Linked DNA regions of Cricetulus griseus. Each later gene encodes a partner of the first gene's protein in a complex. Links are inferred from orthologs where the notes say so. Each region holds a gene or a part of one and is shown in the gene's direction. Other genes may lie near its edges. The genes, in order: Wdr20, Usp46, Usp12 and Wdr48.

Region 1 (4,271 bases):
TCAAGGATTTTAAACCAGGTGTGTGGATCATGCCTTTAATCTCAGCACTTGGGTGGCAAGAGGCAGGTGGATTCCTGAGATGGATGCCAGGACAGTCAGGAATATTTAGTGAGACACAGTCTCCTCAAAGAAGAGTTAACTCGTTATTTAAAAAATAAATAAATAAAAGGATTTTATTGTAGTGCTATTTTTTTTGGTCAGCTACAAAGTGTTAGTGTTACACTCATTTTTCACCATTGGCAGTTCTGCTGTTTATATACTTGCTCTCTACTGCATAAAACGTTTATGATTTAAATTTCTTTACAAAGCTCCTGCTTTTTTACAGTTACTTTTTGTGAGCTGGAGTCTTGCTCCGTGAGCTAGGCTAGCTTCCAACATCTGGGCTCGGGTATTCCTTGGGTCTGGAACTACAGGTGCCCACCACTGTACTGGGCTCGCTCCACCTTCTACTCTACAGACACGACTTTCCAGGGATGGTTCATTCTTCGTGTAACCCTGCCCCCCCCCCCCATTCTAGAACCCTATTATAACGTTTCTTATTTTAAAAGCGTCCGTATCCCAGTGCACATACCCAGAAATGGATACACCAAATGGCGATCGCTTAATGCTACTTTAACTTGTGCGCTTGTCCTTAAGTGTTTAGACTGTGTACAGAATACTCGCACTTTACGGTTCTCCTAGCAAACAACTTCAAGTTCCATCTGAGGCTTTGGAAAACTGATTAGCTTTACCTTTGTAAGGCACAGATTCAGTGTCTAGCTCCCGAAGCTATGGGCCGTGACCCTCGCCCCAACACAACCTAGCGTCTCAAGCAGCAGCCAGTGCTCACCCCAGTCAGGTTTCAGGTGAGGCTTGAGAACGCAAGCCCTGCGTAGTTACGCTCTTCTCCCCACCCCGCTCTCACTCGCACGAGCAAAAAAACAAAACCGCGAGGGGCAACGAAACCCACTCCTGCTGTCCCTGCTGCCAAACGGCCTCTGGGAGGCCCCGACGGCTCCCACCGCGACTGCGTGCGTCCCCGCCAGCCCCGGAGGGGGGGGAGAGCCGGGCGCAGCGGGGTCGCCCAGGTCCGCACACCGCGCTGCTGCTCCGCTCGGCTCGGGCTCCGCCCTCCCTCGGCTTCTCCGGCCCGGGGGCGTCGCAGAGCGCCGCGGACTCACCTCGCCTTAGGGACGAACGCCTGAGCCCAGCCCGCCGCGCGCGCTTCCACAAGCGGGGAGCCTGCGCTCGCCACGCGGTACCGAGCCCGCCAAGGGAGCGCACGAGCGAGCGAGCGAGCGTGCGTGCGTGCGTGCGTGCGTGCTTAGTCGCCCCGCCCCCGTGTGTGTGTGTGTGGGGGGGGTGGGGGCTGGCTCTCGGGTGGGCGGGGCCGCGGAGAAGGGGGTGGGGGGCGGAGCCCGAGCGTCCGGGGACGGCGCCTGCGCGGTGGGCGTGATCCGGGCACTTAGGGCAGGATGAACGCTGCTTTCCAAGATGGCGACGGAGGGAGGAGGGAAGGAGATGAACGAGATTAAGACCCAATTCACCACCCGGGAAGGTCTGTACAAGCTGCTGCCGCACTCGGAGTACAGCCGGCCCAACCGGGTGCCCTTCAACTCGCAGGGATCCAACCCTGTCCGCGTCTCCTTCGTAAACCTCAACGACCAGTCTGGCAACGGCGACCGCCTCTGCTTCAATGTGGGCCGGGAGCTCTACTTCTATATCTACAAGGGGGTCCGCAAGGTACCGACCCGGGCGTCACCGGGGGCTCGCCGGCGGCGCGGGCCGCGGCCGGGGTCACCGGCACTTTGGAGTGGGCCGGCCGGCAACTCCGCTGGGGCAGCCCGGAGGAGAGAGGCGGGAGGGAGGCGCGCCGGGGCTCCGCAGGGGAGGGGGCTCCGGGGCCGCGGCGCCGCGAGTCCCCGCGAGTCCCCGGGAGCCGCCGGAGCCGCCGGGAGCCGCCGGCCGCCTCCCCGGTCGGGTCCGTCAGGTGCCGACGCTGCCCGGGCGCGGGCCTGCCGGTCCCCCGGAAGAGGTGCGGCGGCCGCCTTAGGTGGCCTCGCTCCCCGGGCGGCTCGGCTCGGCTCGGCTCGCAGAGGTCCGTAAGGCGGAACCGGGGCAGGGAGGCGGAGGACTTGGAGACTGGGTCAGAGAGGACCGGCTCGGCACGCAGGGCTGCTCCACCTGCTGCCGCACTGACACTTCCTGGGAGCGAGCCTCTCTCTCTTCTCGTGGTGTCAACACTGTTTCCAAAACCCTTCCCGGCAGGACCGCTGGCTGTCGCCGTCCCCGCCTCGGGAGCCTTCTCCCGAAAGGTTGGCGGGCGGGCGGCCGGCCGGCCGGCGAGGGTCATTCTGTCCCCCCGAGGCGAGAGAGGGCTGGGCGCTCACACTTGGGAGGTTGCAGGGATGTCTTGACAAGTGTTGTGAGTGTGTGAGCGTGCCTAGATTTATCTTGTCCAACGAGTCAGGCTGTGTCCCAAACAGGGAGGGAGATGCCTGAAATGCTACTTTACAGCAGCCAGCCAAGAACTTAACAGTAATTCCGTGAAGCATGTCATCGTGTTTGAAAATGTCTGGTTAAAAGCAGCAGTTTATTGCCGCACCCCCCCCCCCAATTGGCAATGTAACCATGTTCTGAGAATTGCTTGTTTTTTTTAACTTTTGACTGTTGAGTGAGGAAATGAATGTATGTACCCATAGTACCTTGGACGGAATGTGACAAGGTGATGAAAGATTAACTTATAAATGTTCAGTCACTGGGAAAAATAAATCTTCCATGTTGAGGAGTGCACACTACCAAGGATTAATATATCCAAAGTTGGTGTTTTTTTTTTCTTTGTAATGCATGGTTATGAGAACATGGAAGGAGATAATTGTATGCAAAAGCAGTGTGTTGCTTCTTTGGCCCAGGGTTTGTGTTTAGTCAGTGTACTATGGCTATGGTGCTGGAAGGTTTTGAAAGTAGCCGGTTGACTCCTCATGCTTGGGATTGGGAAAGTATGTCGTGGTTTGTAGTGTAGGAGCTGAAGTTTTAGTGTTACCTTCCAACTTTGTTACTGACTCACTGGTGATCTTGGATACTTTTGAAGCTTTTCTTTGCATTTCTTTAAAAAGGGAGGGTTGCAGTGCATGTTGTAATTCATGATATAATAGCTGTCATGGCCGTTAAGAGCCCTGACACACTCAGTAGATGTAAACTGTAGTGGCAGCATTAAGAGTAACTGTCAAAAAAGAAGCTGGCATCTCAACATTTCCCCCTCCGAGTACCAGAGTATTCAGGTTTTTCTCTGGAAATAATTTTTAAGACTTTGTTATCAAAACATATTTAGGGACTGGAGTGATGGCTCAGTGGTTAAGAACTGGCACTGCTCTTGCAGAGGACGACCCGAGTTCAGCTCTGGGGAAGCTGAGGTCCTTTTCTGGGTTCTGAGTACCCACTTACAGCACACACACATAACTTTAAAAAAATAAAATAAACCTTAGAAAAGTTATAATTAGATCCTACTGTGGTTGTGCACACCTGCAATCGTAGCACTCAAATTGTGATTTTTGCGGCCAGCCAGGACTATAATTAGCAAGTTCAAGGCCAGCCTGGGCTACAGTTAACAAGTTTGAGGCAAACATGGGCTATATAGTTAGTGGGACCCTACCTCTAAACCCAGGTGGATCTCTCTGGGTTCAAGGCCAGCCTGGCCCACATAGAGTTCCAGGCTGGTTAGGGCTACATAAGAGCCTATCTCAAAAACCAAAAACACCCTCCCAAACCAAAACCAATCAAACAAAAACGATGATGTAAAAATATGACAAGCTTAAAAGTTAAATTCACAGGGCCTGGAAGATGGCTCAGTAGTCTAGAGTACCTCGTGTTCTTCAGAGCCCAGCTCGCAGCTCAAAACTCCTGTCATCACTGCTCCAGCATATTCAGAGTCCTTTTCAAACCTCTTGTGCACCTGCATATTGTGGCATTCACACATGTATAAGTAATAAGATAAGGTTTAAAAAGTGGAATTCACCCACATTAATCATTACTACTTTAGGTATTACTTCCTTTGTGTCCCCTCCCCCTGCAATGTCGGGTGCGGGCAGAACCCCGGGCTCTGGCGTGTTAGGCAACTGCTCCCTCACTGTGTTACACATCCAGCTCTGAAAGGCTTTTTTGGATCATTCTCTTAACAGACTTCATCTGCATTTAGTAGGTCTGGCTTGCATAGCTAAAGACCATTTGTTTAGCAATATCCTTATGATGGTGTTCTAACAGCTTTTAAAAACTACACTAAAACATTCTTTAAA
Region 2 (4,239 bases), on another chromosome or scaffold:
ATAGTTTGGGTGTTTTACCAATGTCTTTTCCCAAAATGGTGCCCAGCTGAGGTTAGCACACCTGCATCTATGCCATTTGGGTAGCAGAAACTGGGTAGGACACCTGATCTCTAAACCTTATGGAGCTAATTGTGCCTATTACGCATAGTCATGGAAGAAGTTGAAGGACTCCTAAAGTATATCGTAACTGGCAGCAGTAAAAAAATTAAAAATAAATTTTAGGTAGGATGACTAAGTGTGAGGAGGAATATTAGTCCTTCTACACACTGAAAAATGCAGTATCCACTTGATCCCCCAAATCTTCAGTCAGTAGTGTTTGTCTTCTATTCCCACCCCAGGTCCTAGAATTACCAATGGACAACTCTCACATGTTATGTGTATAAACCTATTTTCCCCCAGTTAGTTACTTTTGGCTAGATAAAGCTGTCTTCAATTATATTAATTTCTCTCCTAATTTAATTTGTCACAAAACACACTGGCCCAGCAATTTATCACGTTTCACAAGCACTGCTTCCCTGTGGGAAGCATAGAATTGTAACCTTGTCTACACAATTGTTCCCCACGTTTGAGATGGATTCTTTCAATCCTCATGAACTTATTCTTCAAGCGGGGTACACATTTGCAACCTGAGGTCTCTGCTTCTGCAGGACATGTAAAAACTCAAACAGCGTCCATTTCACAAAGCTGAGATCAGGAGCTCCGCGGGTGGGGGATACGGAAGTTTTGTTCTCATCTTTCCTGGACAGCCTCTAGTACCGCCTAGAACCTCTGCCTCTGTCACAAATCTCCGACAGTTATCTGCCTAGATCCGGAATTCTTTCCTTTCTGGCAGACCTTTTCCCAGGCTTCGGGGTTACTGCTGGCTAGGGCTTTCTGGCCACGCCCATGTCCTGGTCGTTTTTACTTTTCGGGTTCCGGCGGATGCCATCTGGCTGAAACCCAGGCGAGAAACTTTAAAGTTGGACTACAGTCACCCCTACTCCTTATATCCTCCGCTAACCAACACCTAAAGCTCAAGGCTTGTTGGAGACCAGCAGGAACAGAGGGAAACAGACAGAGGGAAATCGGGAACCGAGAGCTCTCGTGTTCCCGCGGTGCAGGTCCCCGGCCGGCGATCGGCCAGCGTCCAGCGCCCGGTGCGGTCCTGGGTCAGGCGGGAAGGCCGTGGTGCTGGGTTTATCTGGGGACCGTCTCTCGGTGCAGCCTGAGCGGAGCAGGACCCTGGGGCAGCGGAGCAAGAACGGCTGGCTTCCAGCGGGGTTGGGCGAGCGAGTCCGGGGGGACGAGCAGGCTGGCAGCGTGAGCCCAGGATTCCCGGCTCAGCGCCTCTCGACTCCGGGCTCCTCCTCCTCCCGCCGGCCGCGGCCCCGGCTGCGTCGCTCCGCCACTCCCCGCCCGCGCCGCCGCCCGCCCTCGCCGCGCCCGGCCTCTCTCGCCAACCCCACTGCAAGCCGGCCCCAGGCCGCCTCGCCGCCGCCCGGCCTCGCTGCGCGCCACCATGGACAGTCCCGTTTTCCCCTGGTAAAGATGGCGGTGCGCGATCGCTGCAACCTTTAGACTAATGACTGTCCGAAACATCGCCTCCATCTGTAATATGGTGAGTGGCCGCCGAGCCTCCGGGGGTCGCGCCCGCGGCGAGTCAGGCAAAGAAAGGGAACCCCGGGCTGGAGCTGCACGCGCGCCGTGGTGGCCGTAGGGGCTGTGCGGCCAGAAGTTCCCGGCCCCGGGGCAGGGCCGGCTGACCGCAGTCCCTAGCCTCTGTCCCAGTTGGGGACCTAGTAGATCCCGGGGATCCCCAGGGCGGCCCCATGCCCCCGCCCTCTAGCTGCGGTGTGGGCGGTGGGCGGTGGGTGGGGGCGAAGGGCTCGAGGTGGCACACCGATGTCCCGGGGAAGGACCGTGAGGGTACGAGCCCGGAGAGGGAGGACGCAGATCCTCCTGGTGCAGTAAATAAACCCTCGTCGGACTCCCTGACTGTCCTCTGAGTTCAGCCTCGATTGTATTTAAGATTCACTTTGCAACAGCAGTGCTCTTACCGGGAGAAATTGGATAGACATAAAAGCAGTGGAAAAAAATTCAAGTGCAGAATCTGGCTAGAGAGGTGAAGTAAAGCCGGGTATCAGAAAGCACGGAGGCGGATCTGTTCTGGAGGCCTCAGTTTACCCCACCTGCAGGAGAGATTGTACGGCAGTAACATTTGCAGGCCCTGGGGGAGCGAGGCAGCTGTGGGTGTGAGGAAGTCTGCAGGGGTCATCCTGCCCCGCCTCCTCTCCACTTAGCTTGGGCACTGCCCGGCATGTCACCGTTGTGATGGACTGAGGGGGCATGAGGAGTGGGGAGTGGGAGGTGGGGCATAACCCACCGGTCACTTCAGTGTGGATTTTCCCCATTACTTTGCTGTCCTGTTTAGTTTCCCTGAGACCTGTTTCCAGCCTTTGGGTCCCCTGTTACCTCCACTTGTGAGAGCCTTAGGGAGGTCAGTTTGGGGGTAAGGCATTGCCCACTGTGTGGGGCTTCAGGCTCTGCCTACACTCTCTGGATCCTCTCCCCTCTGAGCCCCTTCAAGCTGGAACACTGGTGTTTTTTGCCATTTTGGGGACCCCCTCACCCCACCAGATAGATAGTAATACTAGCCCCTAAAGGGAATCTGAGGAGGCCTGATTAAGAAGGCTTTAGGTAAGGTGATCTGGCTGCCCTTCCCCCCTCACACAGCCTTTTAAATCTTCTGTCCCACATTCTGTTGCAAGATCAACACATGGCACAGAGCATTAAGGAGCCATGTGTTAGCTCAGGTGGAGTTGAGACCTGCTGAGGCTGGCTCCAGCTTTCAGCACCGGCAGCCAAGGCCATGCCAGCAAGGCAAATGCAGGAGCTCCCAGAGTGATGGCTGCCTGCTTGGTGGTACAGGTCTCCTTAGATGATGGCAGTGGCTCCTGCAGCCTTGACATTTCCTCTTTCTGCTTGAAGACACAGGTTCCTGTCCAGTGGCATTAATGTCAATGGATGCCCTGAGAAGACAATGTATTTCTTCTCAGTGTCTTTGCTGTAACCCAGCTCCTGGGGCAAACTGTGAAACCACAGTGGCTTGAATGCTGTTTTTCCCACCTGTGGGGGTGGCCTCAGGCCTACAGGCTCCTGAGACTCAGTGCCTGCTTGTGATGCTGTTCTTGTCCAGTTTGTATTCAGTGACACTTCTCAGTATTGAAGCAGGGTGGAAACTCGAGAGCTAGCATGTCCCAAGAGGAAGTCTGCCTCTGGCTTGTTCTTGCCCTTGCTGTAGCTAGGACTTCTTGGCACACCTGGACATAATGTCACAACCTGTTTTCAGTGAAACTCAGCCAGAGAGACAAGCTTCTGGGAGGGCATGAAAGAAATGGGCCAGTATTGTGTCAATAGAATCAATGCTTCCTCTGGTGACCTAAAAGTACCAAGTTAAGGCCCATTACCCGCGCCCACCCCTTCCCATAGTGAAGTAAACCTAATACCTTCCTGTTTAAGCAAGTGGAGAGATATTTGCGTTCTAAGGTAAGGCTCTAGGTTCAATCCTGCTGATGTATTTATCTGTGGCTTGGATTTTTGAGACAGTCTCAATAGCCCAGGTAGACCTCCAGCTTGAGACTGCCTTAAACGCTGGATGACAGGTGTTCTTCACCCACCTCTCAAGTCCTGCTTGCAGCACACACCAGCTTTGTTTCTCTGATCACAGTGCTCTTTGCCTTGCTGTTGACTTGTAGAAATGGGCTGATAATGGTTGTGTTGAGTGATGAGTTCCTGGGGCTCAGGGCCATGAGTTCTCAGTGAGTTAGTTCCAGCCGCTCTGCTCAGTACTTTCTTTCTCATTGTGATGCCACCTTCCAGTCATTTCAGGGGCCATGGAAATCATGTCTTCTCCTACCTGAATAGAAACAGTCCATAGAGTCACTTATGCAAAGCCGGTCTGAATGACACTCTAGGAAAGCTGGGGTGGGAACTGGAAACCCCGCCCCTTATAAAAAGCTGCTCAGGTCGGTTCTGCCCCTCCCATTCTCATTTCCCAGTGGAGAAGAGTGGTGATGTGGAGACTGCTGTCTCTGACCCCACCGTGAGATACAAGCTCACTCTACCTCCGTGTAGAGACCTCACTTAACGATGAATTGTTTCCAGGTAGGTCTCTTCTGGGTCTCACTTGTTCCTGTGTTTCTCACCAGGTCTCTTACTTGATCCTTCCTGCTTTCTCCTTTTGATCCCCAGCTTGTTTGA
Region 3 (4,229 bases), on another chromosome or scaffold:
GGTTACAGGTGTATGTCATGATCATTTATGTTCTGAGAAAAGGACTCAAGTGGTTCAGGCTGGCCTTGAATTCGCTACATAGCTGAGGATGACCTTACCATACCAGGGTTTATGAAGTGCTGAGATGAAACCCAGGAACGCCTACACCCCACACAGCACGTTACCAATTAAGCCATATGTTCAGCCTCCACCCTGACCTTTAAAACATAGATGTTGTAGGCCCATGCTCGAAAGCCAAGCAAGCAGACACTGCATAGACTTGACTGGTGTCAACCAGAGTCCAAGCCCCTGGCATGGTATGGTATCTATATTAAAGAGGGAGACTCCTCCTGTATGCAGGTAGGCACCTGGAGAGAGGCAGCTGCCAGGGGAGCTTAGCAGTACTCGGTGGTGTCCCCTCCCCCCCGACGCTTACAATGGAATTGCTATGGAAACAGCATTCATGTACCAGAAATCCATTTCTCGACTAAATTTTGTTCGAATTCTTTGTTTCTTTAATGCTTTGTATAAAGTGAGGCTTACCAGGTTTTAGAGCTTTGTCTGAATTCAGGCCCTAAGTTCCACAGACAAGTGGGGGTGCTGTGGGAGGAAGAAAAGGTTCCTACCCTCAGATCGCCAATCAAAACAAACCACAGGCTTTCTAATGTAGCGATTGATCTTATGAATTTTCTGCGGGGTCCGTCCACTAGCTAACACTGCGCATGTGCTCCTCACACTCTGGCTGCAGCTTCCTTCTTCGGACATCAACACCCCTCCTTCAAAAATTCCGAGTTGATATCCCACTGTCAAGCAGGATTGGCTCCCCTTCCTCTCCTCCCCCACTACTGTTAATTCAAAGAGCTAATAGGCATACTTGTTTGTCTTTTTACCTAATTAGTCTCTAAGAAGGGAGTTTGGCTCAGAAAAACACCAAGTGCTTGGGACGCTTTGGAGGGGTTGCTCTCCAACTCATCCACAGTTTCCCAGGCATAGCCTCAGTTTTCTGTCTCAACAGTGGCGCTAGCTGTCCTTTAGAGCTGTGGGTCAGTCGCTCCGAAGGCTGCTTACGGTCACTGACGCCGCAGGGCAAAAAGCATCGCGCTTTTCCCCAAGACACGCTCTCGTAGTTAGGGTGGCGACTGCGTGCCCGCGCTAGGACCCAGAAGCAAGTAGGACGCGGCCCCCGTCTCGCCCCGCCCCCGACACGCACTGGGTGGAGCCGTCTCCCTCAAAGCGCGCTCCCTCGAGGGAGGGCGGGGCATCATGGGCGTGGCACAGCTGCGGTGGGCGTGACGGCGGCAGAGTGGGCGGGGCGGCACGACGCTGCCAGGTCGGCCGGGCGGAAGGGCCTTGCGCGGAGCTCGCTCCCCAGCGCGCTGGGCGGGGTGTGCGGCGAGCGGCTTCCCGGGCAGGCGCGGGCCCCGAGGCGGCGGCTGCGCCGTGCGCCGGGGCGGAGCCGGGGGCGGGCGGGCCGGCGGGCGGGCGGGGGCTGGGCCGGAGGAAGCCTGAGTGCCCGCGGCGACGACGGCAGCGGCGGCCCAGCAGGCTAGAAGCGTGGGTCCACGGCGGCTCCGGGTGCGGCTGCGGGCTGCGGAGCGAGCGGGCGGCCCGGCTCCCCGCGTCCCCCGCCCGCCGCGACTGTCTGGAAGATGGCGCCGGGCGGATGGAAATCCTAATGACAGTCTCCAAATTCGCCTCCATCTGTACCATGGTAGGTGCGGCGGCAGCGCGGCCCGGGCGGCGGGTCCCCGCCTTCGAGGCGCCGCCCGCGGCCCTGCTCTAGAGCGAGCGGACAGGGCGCGGGGCCGAGTGGCCGTGGGGAAGGCGTGCTGGACGCAGCAGGCGGGGCTGGGACCGACCCCGGGGCTCCGAGCTGCGGACCGGAGCTGGGGACCGGGAACTCGGGGTCTGGGGACCGGGGGTTCGGGTACTGTGCCTGGGGGCTAGGGCCTGGGGACTCAGGGGCGGGGGTAGGGGTAAGGGCTGTGTACTGGGTCTGGGGACTTAGGGACTAGGGGTGGGGACTGGGATTGGGGGCTGGAGCCGGAGACTCTAAACGGGGGACTGGGGACTAGGACCAAGGGCTGCAGGCTGGGAGTAGGGCTGGGGGCCGAGTACTGGGAACTGGTACCGGGAAGCCAGGGGACTGGGCCAGGGGAAGGGACGCGGCGGCCGCTGCGTTTCCGTGGGTCTGAGCGCGGGGTAGGGCGGGGGTCTGCGGCAGGAAGGAAGGGTCTCGATCCTGCCGGAGGACGGAAGTCCTGGCAGAGTTACTCCTCGGGCTAGGTGGAGTCCCGGGGCCCGGGCTCGGGAAGGGGGCGTGTGACGGTGGAAAGTTTTAAGAGTGCTGTTGAAATGTTCTCTATTTTCTACTCGCCGAGGAGAAACGAACTCTTGCGGTTTCCAACCTGTGTCCGTCCAGATGGCAGCCTTGTCGCTGAGAGTCCGCGTTAATCTTGAAAAGCTGCACTAGCTTTCCTGTCATTTGTTTTACTTTAATAGAGCAGACGCCGCAGTGTGGGGTTGAAGTACACAGACCCCGAATAGAGCGAAACGTGGGTGGGTTCCTAAACGTGTTTTTTTGTGCATTGCCAGAAGCACCACCACAGTTTCCCACATGATGTGACAAATTCATTAGCTCCTTTCTGAACTTGTACGTAGAGGTTGCGATTTATGAATCACCGAAAAAGTTATTATTTGCAGTGTGGGTCTGGAGTTACATTACCAAAGATTTGCACCATCCTGTTCCGTTTTTATGTCCTGGATTTCATCTAGGAGATCCCCAGACTTTCCACCTGAAAGTGATCTGTGCTTTTGCTTTAAGGAGTGGAGAATCAGGTAGGAAAAGTGGATTTTCTACTGCATTTTGTGGAACAGTATTTAAAAAAGGGTGGAATCCGTGGGTTTACAGTCCACAGCATCAAAAAAGTCACAGCAAGAAGGAATCACTGGAGAATCGATTTCCCCACGTGAATAATTGTTCTTTCATGGTCTTCAGAAAGGGGCTATATTAACAGTTTCTGGGGTTGGTTGTACTCATTACTTTAGACCTGCCACATAGGATTGAATCTTTTACAGTGATAATTTTACCAGATTGCTGAGCTCCACACCTTTTGGGGTCATAGTTCATTGTCAAAGTCTAGGGCTTCAGGAGTGGTGTGATTCCCATGGACTGACTGTTCCTTCACTCAGTTACATCAAGTTTACATTTAGCACCTGCTGACTAGCACTGGCAATACAGAAATGATTCTGGCCGTCTCTAGCAGGACGTTTTCGACCATGCTTCTACATCCAGGACTCTGGATGCAGAAGGATCACAAGCTCTAAGCAGATGGAGTTACACATAGGGAGACCTTGTCTTGAAAAAACACGCCCACAACAAAAGGCAACCCCTACTTTCATGGTGTTTACTTTCTACTTGAGGAAGACAATTCTCATTTACATAGTAATACAGTGTACCTGCCAGGATTCTGTAGCAAATAAGGCTTCTTGTCAAGGATGTCCCAAACTCACCCTCGTTAGACATGTGGTATGTGTATGCGTTTTGGCAAATAAATAGACATCCATGCCTGGCCAAAGAAATTGTTCCAAAGGTGCTATTAAGATCAGGTGCATCTTGTTCATACTTGAATAAATTCTACTCCTCTCCCTGAGTAGGTACTGAACAGGTCAGAGTGTAAGGAGGGCTGCTGTCCATCTTCTGGGAATTATGAAAGTGAAAATCAGGAATGACAAAGGCCCTGTAGGTTCTGTTTTGCTTGGAATGTGAACTGTTCCATCATCCATGGACTATGCAGCTGTCTTTTAAGGAGGTCATCTGACCTGAACAACACCACTCTGCCCACTTGCCTCATACAATTGCACAGCATTTTTGTGATCTCAGAAGTGCTGTGCAGTATGTCATGTGTCGTCTCCCCCATTTTTATTAGGTTATGAGGTTTTTTTTTTTTCTCTGCTGGTGTTTTGAAACAGGGTCTTCTGTAGGTCGCATAGAGTTTGAATTTGGTATGTAGTGGTGGCTTGCCCTGAATGCCTGATTGTCCTGCCTCCACCTCCCAGCCTCTTGGGATTTCAGGTGTACATCATCGTACCAGGTTTAGACTGTGAGGGCTTTGAAGTTAAAGACTTAACTGCCATTTAACCATTTGTACACATTTACTAGTGGAAACAGTCCTCCATTTACTCACAGGAGGTGAGTTTGGAGTAGAGGTAAGGCTGGGCGTGGAACAGTGGAGAGAAGGAAGCCTGGA
Region 4 (3,726 bases), on another chromosome or scaffold:
ACCTCTTAAACTTTTAATATTTCAGAAAAATATGCCCAAATTCAACAAAATTCCTTTCTACCTCCAACCTCATGCATCTTCAGGAGCAAAAACTTTAAAAAAGTAAGTAACCATTGCTCTTCTTGATTGCAGTCACTGCACCTATGGTCACGTGGTGAAAGGGAGACGGCTGCTGGGTGGGAAGCTGGTTATTGTGGAGCTTGTCCCCTGTCAGAATTTAGCTTAGCCCATAATTGCTGACTCATGCCTTTGTAGTCTCAGCACTCGGAGGCAGAAACAGGAAAGAGGCCAGCCTGGGAAATACAGTGAGTTCCAGGCCAGCTGAGACGCCATAGCAAGACCAAGTAAGCCGTTTGTGGTGGCTCACACCTGTAATCCCTATTCTTAGCGGTGGACAGAGGAGGATCAGTTCCAGGGCATGTGAGACTCTGTTTAGGACAAAACCTGTGTATAGTAGCTGCCTCTACAGACCCTTTAGGGAGTAAAGAGAAAGGGGTAACCAGCTTGTGAGCACAGCTTTCTGAGGTTTCAGGAAGGAGGAATCACCTGAACACGGGCGGATGGCTGTACTGCCCAAAGACACACTTCCCCGGCGGGAACAGGCTGAGGATACCAGAAGTGGTTGTGGGGATGCGTGTTCCCTCACATAGGCTGGAGTGGGGAGACATGACGAGTTAGAGGCTTGGTGACTGAATTTGAATGCCAGGTCACCATGACATACTAGCAGAAATTCCTGATAGGTAAGGTAGACAAGGCTCCAAGAGAGGCTTACGGCAGAGAAGCTGAGGCCAGCAAGGGAATGTGAGCCATAATCAGTATGTGTGTGACACCAGCAGGGCAGCTAAACTGTCCCCAGGGTTCCTGAGCTGGCCCACTGGCCAATGAGACACTTCAGGGTTGACCACCACGAGGGTCTGCTCGCCTCGACACTCCTGCACACGCACACACTGGATCAGTTCATAGCGAGCGTAGACACACTTGTAGCAGATTCATGACAGAACCCCAGGATCCTTGAAGAGTTTACACTGTAGCTATGAGGTTTGGTGGTGGTTGAATGATAGCAGAGATGAGGGCCTGGACGAAAGGGACTTCAGCTGTGTGATCCAGGACAAGCCAGCTGCTGGATTTGTGGTGTGGAGCCGCCTGGGGCTTAATGTCTAGCCTGGGGCGTTCATTGTCTGCTTCTAGTTGAAGACACAGCAGTGGGAAGTAACACTGAGCCCTGGTGGTTAATTGGTGGATCTGCCCAGGTCTGTCCTCGGTTCAGGCGCACACATGAAGGACTAAAATGCAGGTAGCTATTGTGTGTAGTACATAAGCCCTAGACGGGCACCATTGGAACTCTCTGACAACTCCCAAATGGATCCAGGGACTGAAAACATGCATTGGTTTCAGATGTCTGTACAAGAGGCTCTCTGTGAGTTCGAGGCCACTCTGGTCTCCAGAGTGACTGCCAGGATAGGCTTCATAGCTACATAGAGAAACCCTGTCTCAGAAAGAAAGAAAAAAAAAAAAAAAAACAGATGTCTGTACAACGTTTTTCTTTAGATGTTGACACAATGAAAATAATAGACTTTGTGGTATCAAAACATGCATTGTCTTTTCTAGAGACAGACTCTCTGCCAGTGACATGCTGCAGGTCCGGAAGGTGACGGAGCATGTCTACGAGAAGATTATCAACCTGGATAATGAGTCTCAGACCACCAGCTCTTCTAATAATGAGAAGCCAGAGCAGGAGAAGGAGGAGGATATTGCTGTGTTGGCAGAGGAGAAAATTGAACTTCTGTGCCAGGACCAGGTGAGTGGACCTGAGGAGTGTAGCTTCATCTCCCTGCAGAGGTACCCAGAAAGTCACACAACGTGTAACCGTGACGTGTGCTTAGATCCTCAAGCAGTTGGCCTCCTTGGGCATCAGCTTTCAGAGGCTCTCAAGAGCCCAGTCTTTTGCCAAGATTCTTCAGCGTACCCGAAGCTTTTCTTCATCTGAGGGAGGTGCTTGGGAAGAGGACACAGATTTACAGATGTCCACAGTAGGGCTGCACCTGGTTAACAGGGGCAAGGTCGTCTTGATTTGCAGGGTAGTATCTATCATGTTAAAGAATTTGGAGTGGAGGTGGGTGGTGAAGAGATGGATCACAGCTAAGAGGCAGTGTGTGTGCTCAGGTGGGGCTGAGCTGCTTCTGCTGGTGGATTTTTCAGATCCCATGTGTAAGCTGGGCCACCTGGCAGGTCCCTGGTTAAGGGTGGCTTTAGCTGTTAGTGACCTTGACGTTTTCAATGCACTTTGGCTGTTCAGGTTTTGGACCCAAATATGGACCTACGAACAGTAAAGCACTTCATCTGGAAGAGCGGCGGGGACCTCACACTCCATTACCGCCAGAAGTGCACGTGAAGGGGGGCCAAGTCCTGGGTTATTCATCAACCTTCCTCTGGGGCCCTGAGTAGTCCTAGGAAGCCCACCAAGCCCTACCGGGAGCAGGAGCTCCACCGGCCGATTTGGTGGAGTCACTAATCGAGATGTAATATAGAACCAGGCTCCATGCATAGATTAAGGTGTCCCCAGGGACTCAGTGTGAGGACAGGAGCCCCAAGCAGTCCTTCGAGGTGTGCAGAGACCTACAACAGCCGTGCGGACTTCACTGACCCCTTTTGAAGGCCCTCTGTCTCTTAGCACTTGTTAGAGAACATCAGCGGGGCCACATCTGTCACCGCGTTTCAAACCCATGAGTTCTGCGGCTTCTCTAAGTACATTCCACTCATGCAGTACCTATGAAGGCTTTTTCCAAATTTGTCATTACAAAAAAAAAAAAAAAAAAAATGTTTTCATCATCATGTAAGAGTTTTGTTTTAATGGGAATCATCACTGTTGCACAATTCAAGAACCAGCCCACTTTGTAAGAAATGACCATGTTGGGCTACTTTTGAAATACGGGATCTCAGCTGTGGTCTGTAGGAGGACCTCCTGCCACTGCACCTGTGTTGTGCAGTACTGTCCCATAGCAGCCCCAACAGCGGTGGCCACTGTCCTTCCTCCAGCAACCAGTCTTCCTCAGAGGCAGTGTCAGTGGGAACCACAGCCTCGCAACCTGGGTGAGCAGCACGATACTGTCCACTTAAGACCATGCTGAAGTCTCAGTTTCATTCAAATGCTACCTAAAGTTTGTGTTATTAGAGTAAAAAGATCTCACAGTCAGTTGGTTTGATATTTATATTGTGGTCCATGTTTGGTTTTCCAGTTTTATGCGTGGGCTTTTCCTGTACCTGCGTCCAGATCTTTTCCTGTCTTTCTAACAATCATAAGCTTTCATAGACTCACTTGGACTTGGAATTATTAACTTATTGGGGATAAACACTTCACCTTTGACAGAAAATACTTTGGATTCTTCTCAAGGTCCTTCTCATTCAGATAGCTCAGTGGTCCCCCTGACCCTCCAGAAGACAAACCTTGAACAAAGCCAGAAGAAGCACAAGTGCCTTCAGGGGCAGTTTATTCCAGGCCCGTCGCCTCCCTCCCCTGTGTGCTCTGTCCCCACGGGAGCAGGGACTGGAGAGGGCTTGTTCTCTTTTCCACATCTTCACAGGTTCCACTGGGGGCCGCTGGTGGGTCCAGGTCGGTCCCTCACAAAATGAGGCACCGATCCGAACAACTGCAGAACAGGGTCCCTCACTGCTAACTGTGGAGCTCAGACATGCCACGGCTTCCACACCCTCAAGTGAGCAAAGACA

Evidence for each region.
Region 2: the proteins of Wdr20 (region 1) and Usp46 are in contact, whole or in part, in a crystal structure (PDB 6JLQ), measured with the Homo sapiens proteins. The link is inferred for Cricetulus griseus from reciprocal best matches to the Homo sapiens genes WDR20 and USP46. Residues at the interface, in NP_653175.2 of Homo sapiens: Asn41, Ser42, Gly44, Arg151, Lys259, Tyr261, Phe262, Gly263, Glu282, Asp283, Asp284, Leu285, His301, Lys304, Ser305, Trp306, Gln374, Asp375, Thr376, Leu509, Arg516, Met517, His533, Glu534, Arg535; in NP_073743.2 of Homo sapiens: Asn205, Thr206, Ser207, Thr209, His210, Arg213, Arg273, Val275, Phe276, Pro277, Glu279, Leu280, Arg281, Phe283, Asp293, Met295, Gln338, Glu342, Tyr344, Thr347, Ser348.
Region 3: the proteins of Wdr20 (region 1) and Usp12 are in contact, whole or in part, in a crystal structure (PDB 5K1C), measured with the Homo sapiens proteins. The link is inferred for Cricetulus griseus from reciprocal best matches to the Homo sapiens genes WDR20 and USP12. Residues at the interface, in NP_653175.2 of Homo sapiens: Asn41, Ser42, Gly44, Ser45, Arg151, Ser170, Lys259, Ser260, Tyr261, Phe262, Gly263, Glu282, Asp283, Asp284, Leu285, His301, Lys304, Ser305, Trp306, Gln374, Asp375, Thr376, Arg516, Met517, His533, Glu534, Arg535; in NP_872294.2 of Homo sapiens: Glu207, Asn209, Thr210, Ser211, Thr213, His214, Arg217, Arg277, Val279, Phe280, Pro281, Leu282, Glu283, Leu284, Arg285, Phe287, Asp297, Met299, Gln342, Glu345, Tyr348, Thr351, Ser352.
Region 4: the proteins of Wdr20 (region 1) and Wdr48 are in contact, whole or in part, in a crystal structure (PDB 5K1C), measured with the Homo sapiens proteins. The link is inferred for Cricetulus griseus from reciprocal best matches to the Homo sapiens genes WDR20 and WDR48. Residues at the interface, in NP_653175.2 of Homo sapiens: Arg20, Ser364, Thr384, Glu385, Asp386, Glu524, Pro525, Leu526; in NP_065890.1 of Homo sapiens: Val191, Lys207, Gly208, Gly240, Gln241, Gln242, Arg243, Cys244, Ile245.

Annotation. Positions count from the first base shown.
Region 1 is NC_048598.1:183,271,332-183,275,602, reverse strand, and holds the start of Wdr20 (WD repeat-containing protein 20), read left to right. Parts: upstream 1-1,424; 5' UTR 1,425-1,473; coding exon 1,474-1,722; intron 1,723-4,271. UniProt on the Homo sapiens protein: Regulator of deubiquitinating complexes. Activates deubiquitinating activity of complexes containing USP12. Anchors at the base of the ubiquitin-contacting loop of USP12 and remotely modulates the catalytic center of the enzyme.
Region 2 is NW_023276807.1:140,561,390-140,565,628, reverse strand, and holds the start of Usp46 (ubiquitin carboxyl-terminal hydrolase 46), read left to right. Parts: upstream 1-1,417; 5' UTR 1,418-1,561; coding exon 1,562-1,597; intron 1,598-4,239. UniProt on the Homo sapiens protein: Deubiquitinating enzyme that plays a role in behavior, possibly by regulating GABA action. May act by mediating the deubiquitination of GAD1/GAD67.
Region 3 is NC_048597.1:82,630,924-82,635,152, reverse strand, and holds the start of Usp12 (ubiquitin carboxyl-terminal hydrolase 12), read left to right. Parts: upstream 1-1,396; 5' UTR 1,397-1,642; coding exon 1,643-1,690; intron 1,691-4,229. UniProt on the Homo sapiens protein: Deubiquitinating enzyme that plays various roles in the regulation of the immune response and inflammation.
Region 4 is NC_048597.1:227,013,754-227,017,479, forward strand, and holds the end of Wdr48 (WD repeat-containing protein 48), read left to right. Parts: intron 1-25; coding exon 26-102; intron 103-1,608; coding exon 1,609-1,798; intron 1,799-2,296; coding exon 2,297-2,392; 3' UTR 2,393-3,203; downstream 3,204-3,726. UniProt on the Homo sapiens protein: Regulator of deubiquitinating complexes, which acts as a strong activator of USP1, USP12 and USP46. Enhances the USP1-mediated deubiquitination of FANCD2; USP1 being almost inactive by itself.